3 linked regions of the Canis lupus familiaris genome follow. The protein of the gene in region 2 purifies or fractionates together with the protein of the main gene of each other region. This does not show direct contact. Links are inferred from orthologs where the notes say so. Each region holds a gene or a part of one and is shown on either strand. Other genes may lie near its edges.

Region 1 (7,221 bases), on a different chromosome or scaffold from region 2:
CTACACTTTTTAAATTAAAGTATTATGAGGCTGTAATGGAAGTTTGTTTAAATGCATGTTTATTTCTAACTGTGTCTGAAGACACCCGGCATGTATGTGTATATATATCTCTCCTTTAGTAACAGTGAAGACAGAGACAGACAGGGAGACGGAGACATATGTGCGCGCATACCAAACATAACACTGTGACATAGTCTCCAACTTGCTTTCTCTAGCAGCCTGGCTAGAGGGTTGGGGCTAGGTTGCTGTTCCTCAGTATTTCTGGTTTAATAAAGGGATGGGCTGAGTAAATATTAATGTAAAGAAATGGGTGAAGCAGCCTAGCCAAAGCTAATGAGCCTGGAGCCATGGGCTGGTGGGGATGTCACTCCATTTCCAAAGCGCTGTGTTTTGACTCACCCCAGGGTAGCTGTGGTGTGGGGAGGGCTGAAGTTTGGAAGGGTGAGGCAATGCTCTGGAGCAGCTCTTGACAGAGCAATCACTACTGGGAACCAGTGGGCCAGGGGAAGTTTATTTTTGTTGGGGGGTGCACAGTGAGCTCACTTTTTTTTTTGCAATAACAGAAATCTGGCTGCTCTGAGATGAAAGAGGGGCTCCCTAGGGCTCTTCCTTCCCTCTTTCTCCCTATCCTGATAACTCCCCTTCCTCTGCACCTATGACCCCAGAATGAGTGGGAGAACCATGTGCTGAGGAGTGCTAGAGCCGAGAGCAGGCTCTGGAGGTCAAGTGTCAAAATAAAAAGAAGTACTTCTTGTTTCTTCAACTGAACTTTATTACAAGTAAGAGTGAATAGTAGTCATGAGAATAATGATCCTCACCTTTTATGCGATTTACAAAGTACTTTCACATGTTCACTAGCAACAGTACCAGCATTAATACCAATACTAATAATAACCAACACTTACGGACGGCTTCCCGTGGGCCTGACACGGTGCTCTACACAGCGCAAGCTGTATTGGAGTCTGCGGCAACGGAAGATCCGAAACTTCTGTACATGTAAAAGAACTCACTGGCACAGCCTGTTTGGAGAGGGAAGGATGGAGGTTGGTTCGAAGGTGTATTTGCATAGCACTTTACATGAGAATGTAACGAAGAATGGGGGGACTGATGGAAATTTGGAGCACTGCAAACCACCTCTGGGAACCTGAGAACCCAAGGTAGCTTGTCACAGCTACCTCTCTGATTTTACTGGATTCCGATCTCAGCTCCATCTCTAATGGCCATGTGACCCTGGGCAAGTTATTTAACCTCTTTTGTGAGCCTGTAAAACAGAGTTCATGATAGAATCTACCTTGTGGATACTATTGAGAGTTTAATGATGAGGCAAGAAAATCACCTAGCAGTGTCTGGTTCGCAGTAACCTCAGTGAGTTACCTCCTAATTATGACAAGAAGCAAAATGAAATCTCAAACAATTCTAATAAGTTGGGAGCTATGATCCCATGTGTATGGGTGGAAAACGGAGAGAAGGTAAAAGAAAGTAATCAGATCAAGGTCACAGAGCCAGAGAGTGATAGGAAATTCCAACCTGATCCCGCAAACTCTACAACCTGAAATGCCGGTATATTGCTTCCTCTCTCCAGCCTTGACCAGAATTATTTCAATTTTCAGAGGGGTGGGGGAGGCAGACCCAGTACATAGAAGAAATGGTTGAACTGCCGTGACTACAGCTATGACCAACATGCCTGTTCCCCAATAAGCAGTAATGACGAGCAGCGGTCCCCTAATGGAAAAGAAATCATGGCCTTGCTCAGCCTTCTGGGGCACTGTGGAATGAAATCACAGCACGTGAGAAAGAATTTTGAAAGCTGCCACTGCGCTTTACAAAGAGATAGCAAAATCATTAAACGCTGCCCCACCTTCTTTTATCAAACCCGGAAAAACCACTCACCTGTTTGGCCTCTCCAGCACCTTCCCCCCTCCCTGCCCCAACTGCAGCTGTGCGCAGCCAGTAGACTGTTTTCCTTAAAGGCCTCCGGGTGCTCGTAGCTTCTTTCAGCCAAAATTTTTAGAATGCGACTGGGGGGGGGAGGAGTAGCTCACCCTGAATTCATTTAGCTCTGTCGTTGAAACTCAGGTTCCTAGACCAGAGGCACAAAAACAAATCGAAAAGGCAGTTTCTGGGCAAATGGAAAACAGCTAATTTTGCAGGTGCTTTGGCATCGGTGGTAGCAAGTGAACGTAACATCCATACGGGGTGGGGCGGGGCGGGGGGGGATGATTTGATTACAGATAAAACGAGAATGAGATTCGCGACGAAAATCCTGAAACTGGACATTTAAATGCACTGCCCGGGGTGGGGTGGGGAGCGGGATCGGAAATGACGCTTGTGGTTTTCAAATGCGTTTTTACTTGGGAAAGCCGGGCGGGGAAAGGAAAGGTCATCGTCTGTTTAATTTCCACCCCCAGCCCAGGACGTCCAGCATTAGCTCGCCGGGCCTCAGCTGTTGTACACACACGGGGAGGGGGGAGGGGAAGGCGGAGGCGCGGAGGCGGGGCCGCCGGGGAGGAATCTGGGCGCCCTGCCGCGCATGCGCCCTCCCCGAGCAACAAGTGGCTCCACAGACAGAGGAAGTGTAAAGGGGAGGGAGGGGGGAGAAGTGGTGCAGAGCATGGCGGTGACGTCAGCGCTCCGCCCGGGCGGCATCCCGCGCGGCCAAGCCGGGGACAGCGCGAGCCGCAGCGCGAGCGGGAGCGCCGAGACGCGCCTCCGGAACGTAGAGTAACAATCACAACCCCACATTCCGGGCGAGTGCGAGCGGGAAGGGATGCGACCCGGGCCGAGGCGCCGCGCGAGCGCCCTGCAGCCAACGTGAGCGCCGCCAGCCGCGGCGGCCGGGGCGCCGGCCGGGCCTGGGGGCGGCGGGAGCCTGCGTGCGTGCGCTCCTCTCCTCTGCTCTCGTGCGTCCTGGAAGCGGTGGCCGCGGCGGCTCCCTCCGGCCGTGCAAACCCAGCCGCCGCCAGCGGAACGGCCGACGCTGCGGAGGGGAGAAGCTCCTCTCGGCGGCCACCCCCTCCCTCCCCCGGCGACTTCAGCAAGATTGGACCCGGGCACCGGGTGGCACTGAGCCCTCTAGCCTTCGCCCCAGTGAGCCTGGCGGGGAGAGGACGCAGCTCGTAGGGGGGCCCCCAGGGAGAGGAAGAGACCACCCCTTTCGAGCTTCCAGGCACCAGCCACTCCGGGGAGGGGGCCAAGAGCCCACGGCGGCCAGCACCCGGCACCCTCGCCCCCTCCCCTCGGGCCCGGAGCTCGCAGCCCGGGTCCGCGGCACCAGGAAGAAGGCGCCCGAGCTCCCCTCCCGACGACACAGCCGCAGTAGGAGGTGGGGGCGACGAGCGGGCAGCACTCGTCCGCCGCCCCGGCGGTGGAGCCCCCACGGAGAGGCGCTGCGCCGGCGGTGGAGACTCGCGCTCCCTCCAGCCCCTGGGGCAGAACTTTCTCGCCCCCCCTTCCTCCCCCGCAGCCGGACTCCCTCCCCAGCCGGCCAGTCCTCCCGGAGGAGAAGGCGCCGCGGAGACAGCCTGGGCGGGGGCCTACCTTCCCCAGGGCGGGCATCATGTCGGCGGCGCAGGTGTCCTCGTCCCGGAGACAGTCTTGCTACCTGTGCGACCTGCCCCGCATGCCCTGGGCCATGATCTGGGACTTCTCGGAACCCGTATGCCGCGGTTGCGTCAACTACGAGGGCGCCGATCGCATCGAGTTCGTGATCGAGACGGCGCGCCAGCTGAAGCGGGCGCACGGCTGCTTTCAGGACGGCCGCTCCCCCGGGCCGCCGCCGCCCGTCGGGGTCAAGACGGTGGCCCTGTCGGCTAAGGAGGCGGCGGCCGCGGCGGCGGCGGCGGCGGCGGCCGCGCAGCAGCAGCAGCAGCAGCAGCAGCAACAGCAGCAGCAGCAGCAGCAGCAGCTCAACCACGTCGACGGTTCCAGCAAGCCTGCGGTGCTGGCGGCCCCGTCCGGCCTGGAGCGCTACGGCCTGAGCGCTGCCGCCGCCGCCGCCGCCGCCGCCGCCGCCGCCGCCGTGGAGCAGCGCAGCCGCTTCGAGTACCCGCCGCCGCCGGTGAGCCTGGGGAGCAGCAGCCACGCCGCGCGGCTGCCCAACGGGCTGGGGGGCCCCAACGGCTTCCCCAAGCCGACACCGGAGGAGGGACCCCCGGAGCTGAACCGCCAGAGCCCCAACTCCTCTTCTGCCGCGGCGTCGGTGGCGTCTCGGCGCGGGACGCACGGTGGGCTAGTGACGGGGCTGCCCAACCCGGGGGGTGGTGGAGGCCCCCAGCTCGCGGTGCCCCCCAACCTGCTGCCGCAGACGCTACTTAACGGCCCGGCCAGCGCCGCGGTGCTGCCCCCGCCGCCGCCCCACGGCCTCGGCAGCCGTGGGCCCCCGACGCCCGCGCCCCCAGGGGCACCCGGGGGCCCCGCTTGTCTTGGGGGCGCCCCGGGCGTCTCGGCCGCGTCGTCCTCGGCGTCGTCTTCGACCTCGTCGTCGGTGGCGGAGGTGGGGGTGGGTGCTGGCGGCAAAAGGCCCGGCTCGGTGTCGAGCACCGACCAGGAGCGCGAGCTGAAGGAGAAGCAGCGCAACGCCGAGGCCCTGGCCGAGCTGAGCGAGAGCCTGCGCAACCGCGCGGAGGAGTGGGCCAACAAGCCCAAGATGGTCCGCGACACGCTGCTCACGCTGGCTGGCTGCACGCCCTACGAGGTGCGTTTCAAGAAGGACCACTCGCTGCTGGGCCGCGTCTTCGCCTTCGACGCCGTCTCCAAGCCCGGCATGGACTACGAGCTGAAGCTGTTCATCGAGTACCCCACGGGCTCCGGCAACGTGTACTCCAGCGCGTCCGGTGTGGCCAAGCAGATGTACCAGGACTGTATGAAGGACTTCGGCCGGGGTCTCTCCTCCGGCTTCAAGTACCTGGAGTACGAGAAGAAGCACGGCTCCGGGGACTGGCGCCTCCTGGGAGACCTGCTGCCCGAGGCCGTGCGCTTCTTCAAGGAGGGCGTGCCCGGCGCCGACATGCTGCCCCAGCCCTACCTGGACGCCAGCTGCCCCATGCTGCCCACGGCCCTGGTGAGTCTGAGCCGCGCCCCCAGCGCGCCCCCGGGCACCGGGGCCCTGCCGCCCGCCGCCCCTTCGGGCCGGGGCACCGCCGCCAGTCTCCGCAAGAGGAAGGCGTCCCCCGAGCCCCCGGACTCCGCCGAGGGCGCCCTAAAACTGGGCGAGGAGCAGCAGAGGCAGCAGTGGATGGCGAACCAGAGCGAGGCACTGAAGCTCACCATGTCGGCCGGCGGCTTCGCGGCGCCGGGGCACGCCGCCGGGGGTCCGCCCCCCCCGCCCCCGCCCCTGGGACCCCATTCCAACCGGACCACCCCGCCCGAGTCAGCCCCTCAGAACGGCCCGTCCCCCATGGCCGCCCTCATGTCGGTGGCAGACACTCTGGGCACGGCGCACTCGCCGAAGGACGGCAGCTCCGTGCACTCCACCACTGCGTCCGCCAGGCGCAACAGCAGCAGCCCGGTGTCACCGGCCTCCGTGCCCGGGCAGCGCCGCTTGGCATCACGGAACGGGGACCTGAATTTACAGGTGGCGCCCCCGCCGCCTAGCACCCACCCGGGCATGGACCAAGTGCACCCCCAAAACATTCCGGATTCCCCTATGGCCAACAGCGGGCCCCTCTGCTGTACCATTTGCCACGAACGTTTGGAGGACACGCATTTCGTTCAGTGCCCATCCGTCCCCAGCCACAAATTCTGCTTCCCTTGCTCTAGAGAGAGTATCAAGGCCCAGGGGGCCACCGGCGAGGTGTACTGCCCCAGCGGAGAGAAATGCCCCCTGGTTGGGTCGAATGTACCTTGGGCCTTCATGCAGGGCGAAATCGCGACGATCTTAGCTGGAGATGTTAAAGTGAAAAAGGAGAGAGACCCTTGAACCACAAGACGGCCACCTCCTCTGCCCCTGACCAGCTCCTCTCCGATCCAGAGGGCCCCTCCCCCACCCACAGCGACCCTCCCTCCCCTTGCCCCTAAGATGTAGAATTGTGAATATAACAAACTGCAAAAAGTTAGTCTTATGTATAGACATTATTTTCGTCGTATGTTTCTATATTTTGAAACAAAAGGTATGTAACTTCTTCATTTGAAGGATAAGCTGGTTTGTGTTAAGCAGTATAATATTGGTTGGGTCATTTGCATCATTTCGTTAGCATTTATTTGGTGGCAGAGTGTTTGCCTAGGTACAGAATTAATAGCCCTTAGCAACGACTGCTGCTGGTGTGTATTTTTGTAAATGTTATGCACTCTCTGAAAGGAAAAAAAAAAAAAACAAAAGAAAATGACTTTTTTTTTTTTTGCCAAGGCCAGTGTTGCTGCCTAAAAAAAAAAAAAAAAAAAAGATGCTATAAAATGGTGAAAGCTTCTTTCTAAACAGCCCCAAGTGTTGAAGTCTTCACTTTATTTTGTTCCATTTTGTTCTGTTCTGTTTTGTTTTTCTGTTTTGTTTGCAAAATGGTAAGGGGGGGGTTGTTGGGGGGGCGGGGTGTTTTTTGTTGCAAGTTTGTGAGGGAAAATGTTTTGGTTTGTTTCTACGGACCTGAATGTGTTGGATCTTCACGTGTTGTTTTGTTTTTGCTTTATTGATGCACGGATGCTTTTGAACAGTAGAGCGAAATGCTAGACATGGGGAATCTGCTCTGTTTGTCCTTTATACATTTCTGTAGTTAACAGAACACTGTAATGTGCCTTGGAGCTTAGTAACTTGTAATAAATTCAATTGATATTAATTCTGCCCCGAGTCAGCAAGTGTGTTTTTCTAGAGCTAAGGCCACGTAGTAGTTCCAACATAGGGGACACCCTCCCTGCCAACGTAGAGCACAAATGCTGGTGTCTTTGCAAAGCCTGGGAGGTGGCATCTGTAGAAGGCCCTGTGCTGGCGGACTGCCCCTCCCCCCCACCAGACTATTTACATTCACCTCTTGGGGCAGGACAGTTGCTGACTAAGCAATTTCTGTTTACTCTTCTGCATCTCTATTTTCCCTGAGCGCCCCAGCTGCAAATGGCATTGTCAGAAACTCGCCCTGTGGCCTCGGGTATGTGCCGATCTCCAGTGCAGCTGTGCCTTGTGCAAGTGGGAAAAACAACAACAACAACAACAACAAAAACACAAGAAACTAGGATGCTTTGCCTCTTAGATGTGGCAGGAATCACACTTACTGCACATTATAAAGCAAAAACGCC
Region 2 (7,379 bases):
TCAAAATGTCGACCTCGAGAAATGGGAAAAGGCAGTAGGAGTCTAGGATGATGGGGCCAGGGCAGTGTACTCTATCTATAAAACATTTCTTTGGATCCTACACACAAACCTGACATTTATAAGCTCAATAGGAACAAATTAAATTGGAAGCTCGTCTTTCCCTCGATCACACTGGGTGTGTGAGAATAGCAACAGATTGCTAAGTTTGCCTGAAAAGAAATTATTTATGAAAATTACACAGCAAGTACTTAACTCCCCAAAATATTGGTTTAATGAAAATTAGACAGAACTTTATCACACAAAATCCTAAATTATTTTGCTGAACTACATTGGCCTTGCCCTGGAGATACACATGCTCAGAATCCTTCATCAGAAGGAATCGCACAAGCCTTGTTTCTCATAAAAATAGGGACAATGAGGCATGCACATAGAGTGTGAGGCATAGGAGACATTCTTGCTAGACTCCAGTTTTCTCTTGTTTATTGAAGATGAATACTACACTGATAGAGGGGACTAGGAGCTGAAATAGAAACAAACCCATAACTCTTTATGGCCTTCCTAGACCAAGAGACATACACATAAAACAAAGTCCTTCATGCCTCTTCAGAATGGAAAATCCAAAGCAGCACAATCATAACACTAATACCAGTTTTGTATGACAAGCAAGGTCAACACGAGCAGAGCCAACTGAGAGTGACCGCGGATTCCCTATCCAAAGCCCCATCTAAAATGTGGAAAACTGGTCTGCATAGCATGGCCTCTGGGACAACGGAAAAATAAAAGATCTGGCCCTGAGAAGAGATCCTTGATTCAGTGGTTCTCCACCTTTGCTCTGGCCCACATATCTGGGGAATGGGGACCTGGGATGCCTGGTGGGGATCCGGGATGCCTGGTGGGGATCAGAGCCTTGCTATGGGGGTGGGGGTGGCGGTTCTTTGCGTGAAAGAGTCAAAGACTCGAGAGAAAGGTTGTAGACAGTGTTAAATCTAAAAGTTCCTTATGGCTTCTCAAAGCCACCCCGCCCCCGCTGGGGTGATTTGATACCCACATAAGCCCCATACGCCATACATAACAGAACGATGCAGCCCCATTTTACAGATGTGAAAAGCAAGGTACCAAAAGGAGAAGTGATTGGGAGAGTAAATGAAAGGGCTGAAAGTCAACTCCAGGCCTCTGGACACTTGAGTTCATGCCCCTTGAACATAGCTGGTTGTCAACAAGTATTTAATAAATTAATGATGTAAAGGTACAGTGTTTGTGTTCATTCAATAACATAACCGCCTGGGTAACTACAATGGTTCATATCCTGGGATTCTTGGCTCCCAAAGTTAACTGTGGCCATCAGGAGTCCTGGGCTAGTTTCCAACTCAGAAAGCCTAAGGAGACTATGAGTTTATCCAAAATGGGCTGCTCAGAGTCCAAAACGTCAAGTGTCTCTACTTTGGGCTGGAATGAGATCAACCAGACCTGAGGATGCTATTTCTCCCAGGTCAATCAGGAGTTCTGACTAGAAGTCTGATGCAATTCTAATAATAAAAACAGGCATCGAAGTCTTCCTAATAAGCACAATATGTTTCAGGGACAGTCTTTCAAAAGATGAAGCTTGTGTTTGTGTGTGTGTGTGTGTGTGTGTGAGGGGGGATTATTTAAAAAGGATGCTTGAAGGTAAAATGCTGGCAACTAGGGGCCTGCTGCAGGCAGCCCAAGCTATGGCTTGGCATCAGGTGCCCGAGGGCTGAATTTGCTGCTTGTATATTTCCCTTGGTATATACAAAATATTGGCTTCACATTTAAATCTGGAACCTACATATAATTTATCAATCTTTGTTGGAAAAAAAAAAAATCAAGATTCATTCAACCTTCCTCACTTCCTTTCCTGCCAGGCACCTCCTTAAGAAACACCCTTTAACCCTGCCTGGGGCAAACATTATGCACCGGACATTGATCACACTCGGGACAAAAGCAGGGCACATCTAGGGCAAAAGGGCAGAAAGCCCTGATCTCCTATCCCACCTGAGAAGAACCTGGTGTCCCATACAGACAAAAAGAACGGATTTTATTAACAAAACTGACACTTCACAGCAATTTACATTATTTGCCTATAGTACCTTACGTACTTTTAAATGTTGTATTTTATAAAAATACACTATTTTTTTCACATACACAGTGCTGCACACACAGCAGTCAATAAATGAAAGTGAACCGAGTCCCCTTAATGATGCTATAGCAAAATACTAACATCAGCTAGGAGCTTATCTGTAATAACGATAATGAATTACAGAGTCTGCAGCAATGGTAAGAAAATTCAGACTAAATGACATTGAGCCTGAGAAGATTTATTTATATAAATATACAGATATATAGATATATATATCCTTGCACACACACACACACACACACACACAGAAAGTATACTGGTATCACTGTTATTTCCATATCATTTGGTCTCCATGGATACCATCCAACTTCTGACAGAAAAAATTCACTGACAATATTATATTTCACTGTTAAATTCTTTGATGCTTTACATAAAATAGCTATTCTGTATTTAATTCCTTGCCGTTATCCATAATACTCTCAGAAGAAGTAAATCCCTTTTTGCTGAAAATTCTGTAAGAGAAAGTCAGTGATCAATCCATAGTCCTGATTTCCTGGCTTTTTCGCATTAATAATAGTGACAGATTTCTGAAAGTTAATGCCTTACACATTTGTAGACTGCTGTAACTTCTATAACCTTCTCCCATACACAGTCTCTCCTCTGTTCCCCAAAGCAACCCTATCAGATAGGCAGTTAAGTATTATTATCACCTTCCATAGAAGTAACCCCAGAAGGTAATCACTGTTATTTATCTTTCGGTTGCCTATTATCAGCTCACCGACCACAATACAATTTCCCCAGAGGGTAAGGAAGTTGTTTTCCTGTTCCGAGTAGAACCCACAGAGCCTAGCACTGTGTCTGGGTGCAGAGTGAATGTCCCAGGAATATTTATTAAATGAATAAATAAAGTCCTTCCTCTGCTTTACACCCTTTTTGGTATATAGCACAAAACAGAACCATGTCCCAGATACCCCATTTAGAGTTCTGCTCTCTATCAAAAGGAAATTGTGTGAAAATGTTCTAGAAACAACCAAGCTCGTATCTGATAATCCTAAGAATAAAAGTACAGTGTCCTTGCAAACCTGAAGCAATGGATGCACACCAAAAGTTAAGTATCCAGAGTCTCGAATCTTCCACTACTAGTTGTAAGCTTAACAGCCTTATTAACTGGCTTTGGTATATGGAATATCTGCCTAATAAAGTCTTTCAGAAGGCACAGGAAAGCCGGGCCATAGTTCATAGAGCTGTCAGTACTTAAGGACAACCATTACTTTGCCATAATTTGCTTCCAATTCAACTACAAACTCTCACTTTTGATGCCGGTGACATTTTTACAGGTAAGTCAAGTCTGAAATATGCAAAATTACCTTTTACTTTCCAAGATCAAAAGGAAAAAAAAAAAAAAAAAAGGACAACTCCCTGAGGACGAAGTATATAAATGTTTAATATTAGGAAGCGATTACAAGTCATCACAGAACTCCTGAATCTAAAGAAGCGAAAATCTTGCTTCTTACATAACAGGCCGAGTTATAAATTATAATCGTTCACTGATTGCAGCGAAATTCCGGACTTTACCGTCTATCGATCAACAGATGTTCCAAGGTTACCCCGTAGAAATGCCCGTTTCATTTCTCAATATTCCATGTCTGAAGTCTCCTTAGAAAAGTCGAGTTTTTCCAGGACGTTCTAGGTTCCTACTTCTACCGCTGCCCCCTCCAAAAAAGGAAGCACGGGGCGCTGGGGAAACTGCTGGATCCTGGATCTGCTGGGCGCCCCGAAGTGGGGCAGGGATGGGCCCCCGGGCGCCGGGAGGCGAGCGCGCATCCAAGACCACCCGCCCTCGGAACCACGTCGGCCAGCGGCCCCTCGCTGCACCTGCCCTGAGAGCACCAAGTGCAGGCTCCTAGCCCCCCCCCCCAGCCCCCCACGCCGTGTGCAATCGGTCTGAACCCTGATAAGTGACTGCAGGCTCGACAGCAGCCTCGGTGATTCCTGAAAATCCCCAACAGGAAATGTAACCATCCTCCACCCTCCCCAGCCATTCATCAAAAGCAGACCGAGCCACTGCAACAGGGGAGGCCGGGGGGTCGGGGGGCGCGCAGGAGGCGCAGGGGGCACAGGAGCGCCCGCACTTTTCCAGCTTTGGAGACACTCCGCGTCTTGGGATTCCGTGACCCTGCACGCGGAGCACTACCCACCGCCCGCACGGAGGGAGGAGGCGGAGGAGGGACGGGGCGGGCAAAATGTCCCCAAGTTGCAGAGACTGTCCTCCGGGGCTGCCGAGGAGTGCGCCCGGGCCTGCCCGTGCCAGGGGGCGCAGCTCCCGCCCCCGCCCCCGCCCCCGCTCCCGCTGCAACAGGGCAAGGGCGGCGAACGTACCGGGACCTGGGGCCGGGGCCGGCGCGTCCTGGCGGGGGGACCCGGTCGCATCCGCAGCCCCCCTCCTCCCCCGAACTTGCGGAGGCTCCGCGGGCCCCGCTCGGTGGCCGGGCCGGGCCGGCGGGGCGGGGAGGAAGTGGCGGCCGCGCACCAACCACGTTCGGCCGGCGGGCGAATGCCGCTCGGCGCCCAGAGCGGGGTCGGAGGGCGCGGGGCGGGCACTCGCGTCCCCACCCCGCCCCGCCCGCGCCGCGGACCCCCGGGGGACGCCCGCCCCCGCGCCTGCCAGCGGGGCGCCGCTCGCTCCCCGGAGGCTCCCCGCCCCCACCGCGCCCGCGCCGCGGCCGAGGCGGGTCGGGCCCAGCGCGCCAGGCCGGCCCGGGGGCGCCCGCGGGGACCCGGCGGCGCCGGGCGCTAGGCCGCGGCCGGGGCGGTGACCCCTCGGCGCGGCGCCCTCCCGGGACGCGCCGCCGGAGCCCCCCGCGCGCCGGGACCAGCGCGGCGACAAAGCCCCGGGGCCAGGCCGGGCGCCGGCCGGCGGGAAGGAGGGCGCGGCGTCCCCCCGCGGCGGCGGCGGCGGCGGCGGCCCAGCTCCCGGGCAGCCGGGCGCGCCGGCCAGGCCCCGCTGGCACCCGCCGCCCGCCGCCGCCGCCCAGCACCGTGCCCCGGGCCCGCCGCGGGGCGCCCCACCAAGTTTCCCCTCGCCGGGGCCCGGGGCGCGGGGCGCAGGCAGCGGGGCGCACGGCGGAGCCGCCCGGAGACCGCGAGCCCCGCTCCCCTCCTTCGGATCCCGCGGCGACGGCGTCTGTAAACACGCACACGCACACACACACACACACGCACGCACACGAGAATTTTGTTTTAAAAGGAGGCCCGACTCCGGCGGACCTGCGCCCACACACCCAACACCTGGGGCGCAGAATCACACAGAGCAGGTCTGTGTCCATGGAGCCACCTCTCCGCATCTGCAAATCCAAAAGTGAAATTAAACCTCCACCGACCTCCTCCTCCTCCTCCTCCTCCCTCTCTACCTCCTCCTCCTCCTCCTTGCAGCCTCAGCAGCCCCAGCAGCCTCAGCAGCCCCAGCAGCAGCAGCAGAACCTGCTTCCCCTAAACATCAGACGATCCATCAGAGCGCCGACTGCTCCTCCAAAAATCAGTATTAATATTTATGAACCCCCAGCATTTTCCGGCTGCGACTGTGTCAAACCATCAGCACGCGCGCGCAACACACGCACACGCACACACACACACACACACACACATCCCCTCCAGTGCTCAGCAAACATGCCCTCGAGAAAAACACACACGCACAGTCACAACTATTATTTGAAAAATGTTACCTCTCAGTGTGCTTTTTCACACTACCAATACAATCCCGCAAGGTTTAAGTGTTGCTAGGGTGTGTGAAATGGAAATGAAAGCCCGTCAGTTGAATAATCGCAGGAGCAAAACTAAAAGTTACTCCCCAGCTTGCCTGAGAACAGTCCAGATCGAAAGCAAAACAAGGAGAGGAAACTGCGAAGCGCAGAGGCTGGAAATCCCCCCACCCCCCGCCCTCCTCCCTGCCTGCCTCCCTCCCTCCCTCCCTCCCTCCCTCGCTGCTCGCTCCCTCCCTCGCCTCCCCCCTCCGCCCTCCCCCCTCCGCCCTCCTCCCTCCGCCCTTCCTCCCCAGTGTTTGTTTCGAGCTTGTGCAACCGGGAGGTGGAGGCGGAGGGAGGGCGCGAGCGGCCGGGCCGGGAGGTGCGGAAGTTCGCCGCGGCCGCTCATTGGCGCCCGGCGCCGCTTTCATCATTTCTCGGAAAAGTCCATTTCATTTTCGCTTCCCCACGTCGCGGCAGCGGGAGCAACAAGCGGCTGCTCGTGAGTCTGTCGTCGGCCGCCGGGACGCTCCCGCCGGCCGCGCTCAGCCTCGGGGCGCCGGGGGCGCAGGGGGCGCGGGGGCGCGGGGGCGCGGGGGGCGCCGGCCTCCTCTCAGCCCCGAAGCTGTAGCGGCCGCTGGGCGAGGAAGGCAGGTCCCCGAGCCTCCAGCCTCGGGGCTCCCTGAAGGTTGGAGAGGGAGGAGGAGCCGGCGGCGGAGGAGGAGGGGGGCAGGGAGCCCGGGGGAGCTGGCCGTCCACCGGCCGGCGGGGCAGGTGGCAGGGGCGGGCAGCACCGCTCTGGTCCGAGGGGACAAAACCCCACTTTGTCGCGGGCCCGCCCCAGAGGGAGAGAGGGCACGGGCGCCCCGGCCAGACAGCGTGACTTAGACACCAGCTGCAAGACTGGGCCAGCCGAGGCCCTGCGACCTTAACCGGGTTGGAACCCTCATCAGTAGTTGAGGGTGTCCCCCTTGGAGGGCTGCTGCCGGCCCCGGCCCCACCTGGCGCCGCGTGGGTGGAGGGGGGACAGCGGGGGATGAGGAAGGCCTTGCCCACGCCTGCCAGGGCCGCCCCCTCCAGGCCCATGACCGCCGCCGGGGCAACAGGAGTGACTCCTCCCCGCGGGATGAGACGCGCAAGGCTGCGAGTTAATTTTGCCTCCCGACGTCTTCATCGTGGCCGGTCCAGGAGAGAGGCTTCTTCATCCTGGGACCCGGGCAGCCAGATTCCGATATGGCCTCTAACTGATTAGCTGGGCATGCCCCGGCAAGTGGCATGGCCTGAGGCCTCCGTTTTTAATGTGGTGGAATGGGGACAAATGATAGAACGCGGGTGGCCAGGTACAGCGCCTGTCGCCCTCCAGGTGTGTTAGCTCACACTGATGTAATTCATTTGGGACCTACCACCGCGGGGTCCTTTGCCAGGTAACGGTACCGGTTCTCCTCTAACTATACCTGTTTCTTCCCCCCACATGCAGCAAAATCAGCCTCCTCCCAAAGTTCTCTATCCAACCAAGAGAGGCCCTTCTCCGGAGGCCAACT
Region 3 (7,082 bases), on a different chromosome or scaffold from region 2:
CCCCCTCCCTCCAGCCCAAGAACTGGGGGTTCAAAGTTAAGGGTCCTCCAGATGTTGAGGACAAAGTCTCCGGGTCCCTAATATTTGGGATTTGGGACATGTGGATCTGCCAGATATGTGTGGGACACGTGGGTAGCTAAGAGGATGAGTCAAGACTATAGGGTCTTCCAGACTTAGGTGGTGGGACACCTGTGTTCCTGAGATGTGGGGCAGTCTGGGGTCTCAGGGCTGTGTGCCAGTGCTGCGCGGTCACAGGACACACTATCATTCCCCCATCTTTCCGTCCATCTGCTGGCCTTGGCGCCCCGAATCGCCCCTTCCCGCAATCTCCACTTTGGGGTCGCAGAGGGAGACTGCAGGGGTGGGGGCTGGGCTCTTGGGGCGGCCCCCTCCCCTTAACCCGTGCTTTGCCGCAGGCTGCTCAGGCCCCGCCTCTTGACGCCAGAGAGCAGGAAGTCCTGGTTAATGATCAGCCCATCGGGACAGGTGCGGGACAAGGCCGCGCACATCAGAGGCGGCCGGCCGCAAGGGTTGTGCCTTTTACCCTGCCAGTCACGGTGTCCTAGGGTGGCCACTATTGAGACTGGTCTCCCAAGATGGGCGCGAGGAGCACAGTTCAGGGCACCACCAGAGGCAGGAAGCAGTCCCCTTGTTTCCAGGAATCCTGTTAGGGTACCCCACAGAGGTAAATTTCCTCTCCTAGGTCAGTCCCCCTAAGCAATGTAGCCTAATTCTCTGCCTCTGAGCAAGAACTCACTATCCTTCCCTTCTAGGAAGCCTCCTGATGCCTCCTTCCCCTCTCCTGGAGGGCGCGGAGTACCCTCACGTCCTGGGCAGATACAGGGGCTGGCCTGGAAGGGAAACCTCCTTCCCTAGGTTGGCTCTGGTTCCCACGCAAGGAGCCTCCCGTGCTCTGGGCCTCAGTTCTGCCATCTGGAAAATGGGCAGATGGCTAGCACGCTTGAGCTGTGGTCCGCCTTTCTAAAAACAGTCAACGGGCCCGCCTGAGTGAAGGGCGCCACCTGGAGGCTACAACGCAAAGTCCCTTCCCTGCAGGACCAGTTCGGTCCCAGAGAGGGCGCAGCATCTCACACAACTAAGGGACCAAGAAGGAAAAAAAAAAAAACCATCTTTCGGTTTATTGAAGGAGGAAAAGGGGGCGGGAGGGGGGGGCAATAAAATGCTTTTGCTTTGTTTATAAAGAGCGAGATTTCAGGAGGCCCCTTCTCAAGGAGGAGGGGGGCACCTCTCCCCCAACTACAAGCAGCAGCAAAGCCAAGCCAAGGAGGGGCGAGGGATACTGGAGGGGCCGTAGGACCCCAAACACCCCCTCGAACAGAAGCCACAAGCTTTCTCCCCCCACCCTCAATGCATCTACCCCAGGGGACCCATCTGGGATGAGGAAGGGGGTATGTACACAGGTGGGGGTAGCACTGGGCTGGGGGAGAGGGAATAATTTATCCGCAGAAGCGGTGGGTAGCAAGGGGGTGGGAGGCAGTAGACTGGTGACAGTGGTGGCCTAGGGGTCCCGTTCTTTCTTAACCTTGATGTCTCCAGCAAGGATAGTGGCGATCTCGCCCTGCATGAAGGCCCAGGGGACAGAGGAGCCCACCAGGGGGCACTTGTCTCCACTGGGGCAGTACACCTCCCCGGCAGGGCCCTGTGCCTTGATGAATTCCCGTGAGCAGGGAAAGCAGAACTTGTGTCCGGGCACTGAGGGGCACTGGACGAAGTGGGTGTCTTCCAGCCGCTCCCGGCACAGGGTACAGCACAGGGGGGCCCCAGGGGTCGCCCCGGTGCCGCTACCACCCCCGCTCACAGCTTCTGCCCCTGCCGTGGGGCTGACTTCTGCCTCACCATTGCGGGCCACTAGACGATGCTGGGCGGGAGGCTGGGCGGTGGAGGAGGCTGCGGGGCTGGCACCCCCAGCGCGTACAGGGCCCCCGCCCCCGCCAGGGTCCTTGGGGGAGTGGCCCAGGGCCTCCGCCACATTCTTCAGGGCGGCGATGGGTGAAGGCACACCGGGGGTGTCGGCGGAGTATGGGCCACCGGGCGCTACCCAGTGCCGCTGCTGCTGTTCCTCGGTGGTCATCTTGCCAGCCGCCTCACCCTCGGGCTCAGGGGATGCCTTGCGACGGCGTGGCGTGGGCGCCAGGTTCCGGGATGGGGCTCGCGGGGGTGGGCCACAGAGGGCTGCAGGGGCTGGCTCCGGGTACTGCTGCGGCAGGGCCTCGGCAGGAGCGGGCTCTCGGAAGCTGCGGACCCCGTCGGTGAGCAGCTCCCCCAGCTGGCGCCATTCCCCTGAGCCGTGCCTCCGTTCATATTCGAGGTACTTGAAGCCTGATGAGGCCAGAGCCTTGCCCGGCTCCCGCAGAGCATCATGAAACATCTGGCGAGCCACGGCCAGGACTCCTGCGTACACGTTGCCAGAACCACAGGGGTATTCGGTAAAAAGCTTCAGCTCGAACTCGTAGCCCGGCGGGCGGGCGGTAGCGTCAAAAGCGAACACCCGCCCCACCAACCCGTGATCCTTCTTGAAGCGAACGTTGAAGGGGGCGCAGGCAGACAGGGCCAGCAGCTGTTCCCGCACAGCTTTGGGGCGCCCGTGCCACTCCTCTGCCCGGCCACGCATGGCCTCGTTCAGTTCTGCCAGACAGTCCGCATTCCTCTGCTGCTTCTCCTTCTCGAAATCGGAGCCAAAAGCTGGACGGGCAGGACTCAAGCCGGGTGCCAGCGTCAGCCCTCGGCTTCCCAGGCCAGACACTGCAGCTGCCAGCAGCCCGGGGGGCACCAAGCTGGGCATGGAGCCAAGCAGGGCCCTTCGCGCCCCCTCCGCCACGGCCTCCTCCCGGCCCAGCCCATTAGCCAAGCGGGACCCCAGGGTGTACTCCAGGGCGGGCGAAGGCAGGGGGAGGCGGCCGGACGATGTGGCCCTGTCATAGCGGTCCTGGCCCGAGATGCCGCCGCCTGTCCCTGACGGCTGGGGCTGGGCCTGCGGAGGCGGTAGCTGAGGCCCCTGTGCGGCGGCCGCAGCCAGGTCCTTAGTGGTCGGGTGCTTGAGGGCTGGGGGCCCGGGGGAGCGGCCCTCGGGGAGCACGTGGCTGCGCTTGAGTTGGCGGGCAGCGTCGATGAGCAGCTCGATGCGATCCGCGCCCTCGAAGTTCACGCACCCGCGGCACACAGCCTCGCTGAAGTCCCACACCATGGCCCACGGCATCTTGGGCAGGTCGCACAGGTAGCACCACTGGCGGCGGGACGCCTGCACCGACGCCATGACCCCCGCGCGCGCGCGCCGCTGAGCCCCGGCGTTCCACCCGCCGCCGACGTTCGATCCGCGCCGCCCGACGTTCGATTCGCGTCCCGGGGACCGCGCGAGCCACAGTCAGGCCTCTCCGGCTCGGCCTCCCCGCGGATCCAGGCCCGGCCCCCCTTCTCCGCCCCCTGGGCCCTAAGCCTTTTTCCTCACTCCCGCCTCCTTGAAAAGCCTGTAGGAGGCACGTCGGCGCCTCCGCCCGCTCCGGGCTCCCGGCCGAGGCGCACAGCTCCGGCCCCGCGATGGGCCGCGGGCGCCGCCGCCTCGGGGTCCCGCCGCTCCCGCCGCCGCCGCCGCTGCAACGGCCGCCGCCGCCTCCACCTCCTTCTGCCCCAGAGGCCGCTTCGCAGGGAAAGTTACATAACGCGCCGGCAAAGCCTTCTGGGAAACGTAGTCCCGCCGGGGCCGATTCTTAAAGGGGACGGCTGGCGCCGGAGGAGCGGGCTCGCCGTCTCTCAGCCGCGCAAATCCTACCGCTCGACGCTGCCCGGCGGTGAGCTCGGCGTGCTCAGAGGAGCTGGGGCACTGGGGCTTGGGAGCGGAGATGATATCTGAATGGTCAGAGCTACCCCGGATTCAGACATGGTAGGAAGTGGACAAGCTTTCGGGCGTCTAGAGTCGGATCGGACTTGCTGTGCACCTTCAGGCAAAAGTCTTGCTCTCTCTGAAGCCCGATTCCCCGCCCATCAAAGGTGGGCCAATGACTGGTTAGGGAGGCAGCAGCTTCTGGGGCGGGGCGGAGGGGCTCTGATTGGATGGTTGCAGGGTAGGGGGGACGGGAAAGCTGGCAACTCGGGGAGGGAGGGTTCTGCTTTGGCACCTCGTTTTCCTGCTGTCTTGTGTAGCATTCTCTGAATTGGGCCGGGAACAGCCGGAGCGAGGGGAAGAACGGAGGCCTCTGGGCCAGGACTTGGCCTCAGTCGTCTCATCTATTAAAGAGAGTGGTGGAGCGCCCTCGAACTCCGTTCCGGCTCGGCCGCGCGCTCCGGTCTACAAAGGGTTACGCGGTGTTTCTCCCTCCCGCCTCCCCGCCACCGCTTCACTACAATTCCCAAAATGCTCTGCCGGGAGGATAAACTGACGCACTTCCGCTGTCTGGGAGGTGGAGAGGAGGCCTTCCCCATTCCCGCTGTCTCCCACCCCCGGCTCAATTTCTGGGCGCTTTACTTTTTGGGGGAGCACCAGGTTGAGGGAATCCTCATCCTCTACGGCTCGGTAATTTGGTGGAAGAGAAAGAGGCCAGAGATGGCGAGCAAGAGTTGTGGGGGGTGATTTTTCTACAACCTTGAGTGCTTACTACCTGATCGGACCAACCAGGTTTTGGGGACACCCCGCATCATCCCCCGGACTAGCATCGGGAACGGTGCGAGTCAGGCAGGAAGAGTTAGGGAGGGGAGGAGAGAAGTCTCCAGATTCTAACACCCATCACCCTCTTGCTCTCTGTAAGCTGGGATAAGCGCTCAAAAAATATCTGAATGGCTTGTCAGAGTTGCATTCATTAGTAGTTCTCAAACTAATTGGATTGTCTGCTTCCTCTCCCACATCCTGCTGCTATCCTAGCAGCTCTGATTTTGCTAGCCAATCAGTGTCAGCTTCACAATTTCACTTACCACCTGGATTATTTTCTGGAAATTGACTCCCCTGAGGTGGGGTGTGTGTGTGTGTGTGTGTGTGTGTGTGTGTGTGTAAAGGCGTTAAAAAGGATTACTTTTGCCTCATCCTAAGAAATACAAGCATACCTCGGAAATATTGTAGGCTCCTTCCAGACCACCACAATACAGCAAATCTAGCAACAAAGCAAATCAGATGAACTTCTCGGTTTTTCCAGCGCGTCTAAAAGTGAAGGTTACGCTATGCGCGTGCGCTAGTATGACGTCCAAAGAAACAACATATATACCTTAATTTTAAAATATTTTATTGCTAAAAGATGCTAACCGTCATCTGAGCTCTGAGTTTTAGTCACTGATCACAGAGCACCATACCAAATGTAGTAATAATGCCAAAGTTGGAAATATGGCAAGAATTACCAAATGTAACACAGACACAAGTGAGCGACTGTTGGAAAAATGGCACCAATTGACTTGCTTGACACAGGGTTGCCACAAACCTTCAACTAGTAAAAAATAAAAAAAGCAGTATCTGCAAAGTGCAATAAAGCAAAGCACAATAAAGCGAGGTATGTCTGTATTATGTGCACAAGTGTAGGTTTTTTTAGGTACTAGCTGCAGTTTTGGGGTACTAGCTACATTTTAATCAAGTTAACACACCATATAGAATCATTAAAAAGGCTATCCACATATCTCCTAGAATTGCCTTTAAGCCATTCTTCAGGAAACACCAGTGGGGGGATCAAGAGTTCTGGCCAGAGTCCAGCTTCAGGTGGCTGAATTGGGATTGGCCGCTGGCAAGGTTAGGGAAAGTCCCTAAACTTCTCAGGAAAAAAACAGAGACCCCTGGAGAGTCTGCTTTTCATTGGGCAGGTTCAAGTTTAAAGGAAAACCAGTAAAAATGTTTAGCATGGTGCCTGGCCCAGGAAAGGAGCACCATACATGGCAACCCTGCTTTTTGAGCTGCCCATTAACTCAAAGATGCAACCCTCTTCTGTGTTGGGCAATGCTGAGGACACAGCACTGAGCTAGGTACAGGCCTTGCTTGCCCTGACAAGGCTCATCCTGGTGATGGAGGCAGACAAATCAATTTAAGTTTACTCAAATGATTATTTAACTGGATTTTCCCTGCCTAACTGATGGGGTGGGTAGAGATTGCCAGGAAAGCCTTTTCTGAGGAGGTGAATATTGGAGTCGAGACCTGAAGAATGACAATGGAATGCAGCTGTAGCCTCCTACGTTTTTGTGCCCATTTTACAGATGAGGAAAAAGAAGGCCCACACAGTTGGCCAGGGTGGCACCAGGGGCTGGGCCAGGTAGGACCGGATCCAGGGTGGTGGTTATTAGCTACTTTGCTACTCTGCTTTGCAGCAGGTTTAGGAGTAAAAAAGAGAACCAGTTCTTGCCTTCCTGAATCTGGGGGGTGGGGATGGAGGAACTGGCTTTAAACGGATAAAGGCATGTGTTCAGTTAGGGACCACAGGATACTAGACAGTAATTGAGGCAGACCCATCCTAGCCTGGAGGAGGATATCCAGAAAGTTCTCCTGGAGGTGACACTTAGAGGTGTCAGAAGGATGAGTAAGTAGGAGTAAGATTTGAAAACAGGACTCGATGGCTTTCAGGAAAGGCCAGCTTCCAACTTCAAGGGGAGGATGCCACGTGTTCATGGAGGGGTGGGGCAGGCGTCAGTGCTGAAACCCCAGGCCTGTCTCGGAGCCCAAAGTACTTGTATTAAAAATAAGTTTATTCATATCTTGTCACCACGGGGGAGAAATGAGGGGGATGGGCCCTGGAGGTCAGACACAGCAATGGGAGGCAGAGGGCCCCACCTATACCTCCCATGAGAACTCCACCCCCCCTCCCTAGGGTATAGACTGCTATATCCTTTGCCATCCATATTCTGATGTGTCTCGAGACTCCCACCCCCTCCAAAGTCTGGATCGGGGAAGCGAGGAGGCCACTACGGGTCAATTCTCTTCAAGTCAAGACCAGGAGTTGTTAGGGAAGGGGGTTATGTGCAGACCCGAGAGGTTCCCTCCGAAACCCACAGAGGGCAATAATAAATAACGTAAAATTGATGGCTTAGAAGTTAGGGTTCAGGGAAGCAGCCAGGCAGACAGCGCTGTACTGGAGAAAGGGCCGGGGCACCCATCAACGAGG

The links.
Region 1: the proteins of IRF2 (region 2) and IRF2BPL purify together in Homo sapiens (affinity purification with mass spectrometry; 3 studies listed by BioGRID and IntAct, counting the BioPlex papers as one, with this or other methods). This does not show direct contact. The link is inferred for Canis lupus familiaris from reciprocal best matches to the Homo sapiens genes IRF2 and IRF2BPL.
Region 3: the proteins of IRF2 (region 2) and IRF2BP1 purify together in Homo sapiens (affinity purification with mass spectrometry; 4 studies listed by BioGRID and IntAct, counting the BioPlex papers as one, with this or other methods). This does not show direct contact. The link is inferred for Canis lupus familiaris from reciprocal best matches to the Homo sapiens genes IRF2 and IRF2BP1.

The regions. Positions count from the first base shown.
Region 1 is NC_049229.1:50,179,012-50,186,232, reverse strand, and holds IRF2BPL (probable E3 ubiquitin-protein ligase IRF2BPL), read left to right. Parts: upstream 1-3,217; 5' UTR 3,218-3,556; coding exon 3,557-5,917; 3' UTR 5,918-6,770; downstream 6,771-7,221. UniProt on the Homo sapiens protein: Probable E3 ubiquitin protein ligase involved in the proteasome-mediated ubiquitin-dependent degradation of target proteins. Through the degradation of CTNNB1, functions downstream of FOXF2 to negatively regulate the Wnt signaling pathway.
Region 2 is NC_049237.1:46,980,476-46,987,854, reverse strand, and holds the start of IRF2 (interferon regulatory factor 2), read right to left. Parts: upstream 4,622-7,379; 5' UTR 4,529-4,621; coding exon 4,478-4,528; intron 3,968-4,477; exon of another isoform or gene 3,674-3,967; intron 1-3,673. UniProt on the Homo sapiens protein: Specifically binds to the upstream regulatory region of type I IFN and IFN-inducible MHC class I genes (the interferon consensus sequence (ICS)) and represses those genes. Also acts as an activator for several genes including H4 and IL7.
Region 3 is NC_049222.1:110,447,218-110,454,299, reverse strand, and holds IRF2BP1 (interferon regulatory factor 2-binding protein 1), read right to left. Parts: upstream 3,970-7,082; 5' UTR 3,275-3,969; coding exon 1,520-3,274; 3' UTR 1,113-1,519; downstream 1-1,112. UniProt on the Homo sapiens protein: Acts as a transcriptional corepressor in a IRF2-dependent manner; this repression is not mediated by histone deacetylase activities. May act as an E3 ligase towards JDP2, enhancing its polyubiquitination. Represses ATF2-dependent transcriptional activation.